2 linked regions of the Drosophila melanogaster genome follow. The protein of the gene in region 1 interacts with the protein of each later gene in a pairwise test. Each region holds a gene or a part of one and is shown on either strand. Other genes may lie near its edges.

What was found. Proteins that work in one complex are often made in the same cells at the same time.
Region 2: the proteins of CG33307 (region 1) and CG14515 interact in a two-hybrid assay, tested with the Drosophila melanogaster proteins (one large-scale study listed by BioGRID).

What each region holds. Positions count from the first base shown.
Region 1 is NT_033779.5:13,838,747-13,843,120, forward strand, and holds CG33307 (uncharacterized protein), read right to left. Parts: upstream 2,775-4,374; 5' UTR 2,734-2,774; coding exon 2,698-2,733; intron 2,629-2,697; coding exon 2,350-2,628; intron 2,290-2,349; coding exon 2,092-2,289; 3' UTR 2,056-2,091; intron 1,758-2,055; 3' UTR 516-1,757; downstream 1-515. Other genes in the region: CG33306 (uncharacterized protein), read right to left, coding at 4,171-4,374.
Region 2 is NT_033777.3:29,195,603-29,199,718, forward strand, and holds CG14515 (uncharacterized protein), read left to right. Parts: upstream 1-1,953; 5' UTR 1,954-2,031; coding exon 2,032-2,465; intron 2,466-3,482; coding exon 3,483-3,555; 3' UTR 3,556-3,609; downstream 3,610-4,116.

The DNA of each region.
Region 1 (4,374 bases):
TAAGGGGGGTGTTCGTTTGGCTGAACATAAATAACCTACCTGGAATTCTTGTTCGATTGTTCGCGGTGTTTATGCAAACACAAAGGCGTGTTGTCTGTTTGGTTTGTTTGTAAATAGCCAAGTAATAGTCGGCCCTAAAAACAACAACAACAACGGCAGTCAGTTGAAATGCCGCTGGCGGTAGTGAAAAACAAATTTCCTCTCTTATCTCAAATGGCTTGCGACTGCCCATTAAAGCGATTGCAATTAGCCCCAAACGAATTTTTCTGTTGATCTACCCTTTCGCAGAGTGGGTCCATTAATTTCGTTCTCAGGATGACTCACGTTCGAGTCCATTATTTTGCGATTTAAGTGTACAATATTTAATAATTACGCGATTATTTGGTGAAAGTTCATGGCTGTCTTTTGGTTTCTTTCTCATTTTTTCGTAGTTATCTATATCTAAATGGCATTTTAATTGCGAATTAATCTACGAATGTATATGCTACCTATTTGTAATATCATTCCATTTGCTTACATTCAGATACTTATCTTTATTGAGTTGCTTTTGTGAGCGGTATTACCATTTATTTGCAATCTTAAAGATAGCACCATTCATAAGTAGCTGTAAACATTGTTATCGTATATTTTTTGAATATTTATCAGCCAAAAGCTGATATCGCAGACAGGTAACTCGAAACTTTAGCACCTGCCCTCCAATTTCGAATTGAACAATCTCATCTCAACTTCTGACCTCTTATCTGTCGGCGGTTTAGCCTGTTGTCTTTATTGCTTTTTCGCTTTGGGCAACGAATTGTTTTCTTGTTTTCTTTTAATTGTCGAATAATATTGACTGGCGGACTTTTGAGCAAACTGTTTGCCACTGTCATCCGCATATCGCATTTTTTTTCGTGTTTTTCGAAACGCCGTTTGATATGGCTTATGTCTGTGTCATTCGGAAGTGGAAATTGTTTGCGTCGATACGCTCGAGAGCATGACATGGAGATGCCATTGGGGCCACAAATACATGTGAAAGCTCACACAAAGATGCCGGCTATACACTGGAGAAAATTACCTTGCCGAGCTAATATTACATAGTCAGAAATCAAATTGTATGTTGTTTATACAGTCAGAAAAAACGCTTATTATTGGAAACTACAATGCGTATATAGGTATTTCTTTTAAACACTGTATCGTCTTGCAAACTTGTAAAAAATCTTTTAAATAAATAGTTTAAGTTCATATAGTTTTTAACTGCAGATTTGTAAGAATTACACTTTTTTAAAGTTCAATAAATTTTACATATCATATGTAGTGCCCGTTTTTCCCAGTGTACAAGAGCGGATTTTCAAATATCAGCGACACATGTGCAACCGGCAGAGTGGAAGGCATGCGTGTCCGTCGTCTGCCCCTGCCACATTGCCACTCCCCCTTTGGTCGCCCCCGTTTACCCGCGAAGTACGCGTTTATTTTTAAAGCAAATTGCATTAAAAATACCTCGCACTTTGCTAGCGTTTTGCTATTTCAATTGCAATTGCACAATTGCACCTTGTTCTTGCAATAGCAATTGCGCTAACTTATTTTCGTTCTCGATTGACAGCGGAAAGTGCAACAAATAAAGTGCGCTCAGTCGGAAGAGCTTTGGCGTTTTTTAAATTAACTCATAATATGTCCAAATTTGGCTGTCGCATCGAATGATTCACGAATTCGTGATGGGTGTATATGAACTTATCATTCCACAGCAGGCGTCTCGCATTCGATACAGTGGGTTGAAAAAACTGTAAAAAAAACCATTCAAGATCAAGAGCTACTCTTACCAAATAAAAGGGAAAAGATACTTAAAATCTTAAGTTCACTTATGTAAGATCGGATTCACACCTCAAATTTATCCATTGAAATTTGTGATAAACCGTTAAAGCGTGATATTTCCGCTATTTTCCAATACAATACCCATAAAATGTGTCAACAGTGAATTCAAATTTGGAAATTTAAGTATGTCGATTGCGCCTTGGTGTGGGTTTGTCAATAAATTTGTGACTACGTTGCTGGAATAATTATTTGCGAAATAAGACATACCGTTCGTTCGATACATTTATAGTTTATTGAGATTTACTATTCGTTCTGGCTCGCTATCCCATTGCCAACGACTTTGCCACTAATCTTGGCCATTTCCCAGAAGTAATCGGCCACATCGCTCACGAACTTGGTGGATATATTCTGCAGCTTCTGGCCGGTCAGGAGTGTCTTATATTGCAAGTCGGTGAGTCCTGTCTCGGATTGCCGATTAATCAGCAGTGGAGAGTCCTTGAACTGCAAAAGGGATATTAACAGTTTGTTTATTTGATGAATACCAATGTAGGTATCTATTACCTCTTCGAAGATATTCTGCCACAGCTCATCCTTTCGGTCCAGTTCCTGCTCATCAATGGCTTGGCTCAGGCGCGTTATATAAAGACTGATATCTTGGAATCGCTTGGTCTGGGGATTCAGAGCGGCCTTCACCTCGGAGAAATAGGCGATTTGTGATCGGAACAACGAGTTCAGCAGGTGGACTGTCTCCTCCTTGGCCTGTCTCTCCAACTCCCTTTGCACTGGATCATCGGAGTTTAGGAGTTGTGGATTTGTGGGCTTGGCAGCCACTATTAATAGCTGTTCAATTAAAGACAGTTTTTTTTTTTAGTATTTTAATAAATTTGGAGAACTTAACGCATTCCTAACCTGGGCTACTAAAAGTAAAGGAATATATTTCAGCATCGCGTCTTATTGATAAAAAATCGAAAGCCTCCTCACTCAATGAATGGTGTTTTCAAACTAATTGGTGGGAGCAGCAGGCATGTTTTGATTAGCAGTGGGATGTTCGAATCTCTCGGGTGCCTGATAAGCTCCCAAGGGTTTCTCCTGCTAGGAATTTTGTTTTGCTCTTTCCCGATTTCGCAGATGATAATAAGCTTTTCCCAACAAATTTAGGAATTCGATGTCATCTGAATTGCGTTTCAGCTAAAGTTAGTGAAACACGTTTTTAGATTCGGAGAGCATATTAGCCATTGATCTATCTTTATTCGCTGTCAAGGTCTGTCTAGCTGTCTGGGTGGTATGGCGCTCGCATGTTTTTTGTTATCAACAAACATAGGAATAACCTTGACAAGGGTATGGTAAGAAGAAACATACATAGGTTTGCGTACACAAAACAATTAATTTGGGAACTCCGTTGCAATATGTTCTCATATATTATTTAATTTTATTAAATACCTATTTTTACAGACGCCGAAAGTTTTTCTATATTTGTATGCTTTGTACAGACAAGTTGTTTATTACCTATTTTACTGTTCATTCATAACTATTCAAATTATTTGACATACATACTTTTATGTATTGGCGCAGGTATAGTAGTTCTTAACTACTTGTAATGTATTCTGCAAACTACTGATATTTTTAATAATTATGCTAGCAATGCTAAAACGCTAAAATAAGATTGGACACTTATTTTTTACAAACTCTACGCACTCACTTTACATTTGACATTTTTAAGTTATACATTTTTTTACCTTACACGCTACTAGAAAGTATGCAGTGGAATTTAAACACCTCATTGCTCAAATAGCTCAGCCAAAAATAAGCCGATGGCAAATATAAAGGTCTACCGCAAAAAAGTAGGCAACACAATTGAGCTATATTTGGATTGATCTAAAAAAAGGAATTTTTATTAAATGTGGCGTATCACGAAACGGTAAAAAGTTGGGCCAATCTGATAAAATGTAACTTGTAAAGTTCACTTCAAGCATTATAATTCCCTTCAAAAAGACTCCTGAAGATGATCTTCTTGACAATATAACTTGTAACTCCAAATCAAGAATTTATACTAAACAGAACTTCTTGAGTAAAATTTCCTTTGTTTTGAAAACAATACTAATTGTACACAAGCATTGAACCAATTGAAATATGTTGATAAATTAGAGTAAAAGTAGAGTTATAAAAAACTACAGAGCTAGAGGGCCTAATCATTTTTAGCAAAGGAAATGCTATTATAAGTCTAATCTGTGAGATTAGATTAAGCAAATTGCGTGTTTTCCCTGCCCTGGTGGGCAGTGAAATAAACCAATCCGCACATGGTTTATGGCCCGCACGTTTTTGACCACCGAAAATTGGATTATGCACTTGTTTTGGATAATATGTAGAGTTTATTTGGCCTAATTAGTTTCCTCCCGTAATAATCGCAATGATATCACTCAGAGTTCGGTCTCCGATCAGATCATTGCAAATGGGAGTAGCCTGTTCGCTGACCCAGGCGGCAACAAAGTCGGTGTTTTCATTAATCGTCAGGGTTACGAACTCCTCGATGATCTCGTTCAGTTTGCGATTGAAGATTCGGTACTTGGACAGGTTCTCGATCTGTGA
Region 2 (4,116 bases), on another chromosome or scaffold:
GACCTGGTGTGATGTGGCGCAAATGTCATTTTCAATGGCCGAAAATTTCGGTATGCTGCTGCCCAGTGCAGGGAGTTGAAAATTCGCATTCGCCGCATCCATAATGGATGATATGTCCTTTCGGCCCGCTGATCCTTCGGTTAAAGCAAAGCCACCGGGTTAACTGACCTTTGCAGTGCGGCCAACTTGAAATGCAAATAAGCGCCAATGTCCAATTGTAAAGTTCAGCAATCTAGAGTATTATTTATCACGTTTCAGCACAAACACATTGCCAAAAGCAAACAATTTAGTTTTGTGCGCAAAAGTTGCTGACGCTGGCACGTGCAATTTGAATAATTAACCGAACATTTTAATTAATGAAACAAGTTTGGTATTGACTTGGCCCAAAGTGTGAGTGCGTGTAGATACACACACTAGCACTTAAAAGTGTGTTTTGGCCCGAAGTGTTGTTGGTCATTTGCGCATTTATTAAATTAGAATTTGTGTGCCATTCGGTATGCTGTTTGCAGTGCTTGTGAATAACAAAAAAAAAAAAAAAAGATAATTAAAGTGAGCAGAAATAATTGGGCACTTTATTTATATTTTTTATTTAGTTACCATTCTAGCTATAAAATATGCTGCGAAAATAGGAATTATAAAACACATAGCTGTGTTGTGTGCCATTTGTTATAGTTTAATTGATAATTATTTCGCATAATTATTTCTCTTAATGAGTATAAACACTATTTTAAAACATTCCGAACAATTTATAAATGAAAATTTAAGCAAATGCTTAAAGTTAAAGAACTGACTTAATTATTCCATTTGTATTCCAACTGACAGCAGCTGTTGCAATTATCCCCCTTGCCAAAAACTAAAGTGAAAATGAGGTGGTGGAAAACCATATTCCACGAAGGAATGGCGTTGGCGGATCCCAGAAAGGAAACCGCCGACTGAAGCTGTGAAATGCGAAACGCAGCGGTATCAAAGGGGGAAAAGCGAACTGCCAGAAAAAAATCACAACTGAGAAATCAGAAAAAGGAAAAACCCAACCGGAGCCAACTCAATTCAGCGAAATCAACGCCAACGGCGGCTGCCTGTCAATTAAAACATTAAAACGCGCTGAAAAATGCAGCGAACAGGCGCAAAGTAAACAAACTGCGGAACATGTTGCAGTGCGGACAGCATTTTCCAACATTTTCCAACATTTTCAGCGATTAGAAGCATAGAATTTCGCAATGGAGCACTTAGAGCAGCACCAGAGTTTCGGGCCCAGACCACCAAACCGAGCAAAGAAATCCGATTCGTCGACCAGGGGAGGGACTAATGTGTGACCCAGTTTGGATCACTGTGCAGGAAAGGAACTCTGTGTGTTTTGGCCATTTGCTTTTTGATCATTAAAAACTGGTTGGCCGCCGCCAGCTGAGCGCCCCACTACATTTGCGGTCAGCTTAATAGCACCGCTGCGGCCATAAATTAGTCAAAGAAAATCTATTGGGATGGCAGCTGGCATCTGTCAATGATTTATTCTTGACACATCATTCCGTGTTAGTTCTTTTAAGAATTAAAAACCAAATAAAATAATAGTAATGATTTACGGTTGGGTCTTAGTGCAATTGTTTAGTAAATAAAGTTATCAAAGGCTATTAATTACTATTTATCATAACAGTTGATCAACAGCAAAGAGTTCTGGAAGAAAAGCGTGGAATATTCGTTTATATTTTTGCATATTTTTGAATATTTTTTTAAACAGTACAAATAACTTTTTAGAAAAAGTTTTATCGTAGTCAAGAAAAAGATGATTTAGCGCACTGACTTCTCCAATAGCTGGCTTTCTTGGATAGCTAAACGCTCCTATTCAAACACCCCCGACTGTGGCTATCTGTCCACTTGAACCGCCCGCCCATGTCTTCGGCGGCAGCGTCGCTTGTGGCATTGCCGCTTGGGTTTATAAGCGGCCGGCGATGGCGGCGGCGAGCCGAGTTTCAGCGTCAGATTAGCCGAGAGCGCGCGCGTTTTTTCCCACGATCAGGAAAATCGAATTCCAGAGCCATGAAGGATCGATTCAAGTGGTTGTCGCTGGAGCTGCTCCTGCTGATAGGCGCCGCAGTCGCCTTTCCGGACGGCGCTCCGGCGGACACGTGCGTGAAGCAGCGGGCGAATCAGCCGAATCATGGCAAGGCCCGGAGTCAGCCGGCTCACTCGAATCCGTACGAGGTGGTGGCCGATGCGCAGACCTACCATCCCGGCCAGCAGATATCGGTGGTCATCTACCCGCACTCGGACCAGAGCACCGTCTTCCGGGGATTCTTCCTGCAGGCGCGTGATGCCAACTCGAACGAGTGGATCGGCGAGTGGGTGCAGAGCGAGAACACCAAGACCATTCCAGAGTGCTCGGCCATTACGCACTCGGACAACCGGGACAAGCTGGGCGCCAAGCTCATCTGGAAGGCACCGCAAAATAAGCGGGGACAAGTCTACTTCACGTAAGTTGGAAGTTATAGGAGGAGTGGGTTAATTATATAGCTCAAGCCAATGGAATTATTAGAAAGATCTAGAATCTATAATCGAACTAACTTTCAGTGTTAAGTAGTGCTCTTACAGTCACAGCAAACAACTTAAATGCATGCAGAAGTTTCACTACCAACTTAATAAAATAAATGACCGCTTAGCACCCATTTTTTCGGACAGTTTCAATGAAGCACTTTGTCAAAACTGGCTTCGTACAACGCAGTTCGTGTCTTCTATGGCCCATCACCCTCATAATAATCATCATTATCATCGGAGGCGACGGTGGAAGTAGCATAAGCCGTGGCAACATCATTGTGCCTCGTGAAGGGATTCATTAATCATACGCCACGTTGACCCACATAATGTAATGCGCGCATAATTGTCAGGCGGACAAAAACTTGCCGGATAATCGCACAAAAGGCATTATGTAATTGATTTATTTGGAAAGAGCACACCCCTCATCAATGGTCCACAAAAAAAGGCATCAAACGGCAAAGACGCCGCACAGTGACAAGCTCAAAAAAGCCAAAGAAAAGCTGTCAATGCTTTTTATGCAACTTTGTCAACTTTGTCGGCAGATAACACTGGCCAACATAGACAAGTGCCAACTGTGAATTAACCACACAAAACTTATTTTCCGGACACTTGTCTCATTTGTCATTCTACCAAAACCAAAATATGCAAATATGGGTATTAATCACAAACAGACAAGCAAAGTTTATGGACACATCTTGCACAAGATCTGAAATCAATCATCATAGTACACTAAGGGAATTAATGCACAGAATTATAAGCTATAAAATGTATTATTTTCTCCATAACCATTTGATTTGAAAGTACTGTAGTCCAGTGTCGTCTCACCTTAAAAATCATCTGCTAATATTGCCTAATCATTGTCTACTAACTATTTATAGACTTCCTTGCGAATAAATTAGAAAAAATCATGACTTGCGAGCAACCATAAGAATTAACATTTTCACTTTTCGCTGCAGGGGCACTGTGCTACAGGAGTACGGAACGTTTTGGAGCGACATTGTGAACAAAGTGCAGGCGGAGCGGCCATAACTGAAATTATGTACTTACTTTTAAGGCAGCCGGGCAATAAATCTTAAAAACCCTAATTAGTCAAAACGAAATTGTTGTTTGAGGATTTTTTTTCGACTGCCATTCACCATTCCGACGTCTTGGACGTCGGACGCCAAAGGCGCCCCATTGAGCTGTGCAATCAACATTACAGGGCAAAATTATTGGCTTTTTGGCTCAGCGCTTATGAATGACCAGCCCACATCCCAGCGCCCAACGAGGCGAACCAGTTCCCGTCGCCCACCACAGACAGCACCTTGCCACCCACATCCGCCCACATCCTCCCACCCACTCCACTCCAAGTCCGAAATGGAACGCACGAGCCGAGCACGTTTGGGTTTCCAGACACGTTGGCCAGCTTCTCATAGGAAATTCGTTTTGGGCGCCCCGGCAAATTGGAAACTCTAAGCACCTTTCAGGCTGGCTGTGCTATAAAGTAATTAGACGGCCAACGAATTTGACCAAGACATAGGCCAAGATAAGTATTCGTAGCATAGGTCTAAAGCACTTCTGATTGATTGCCCTTACAACAATAGGAAGCGG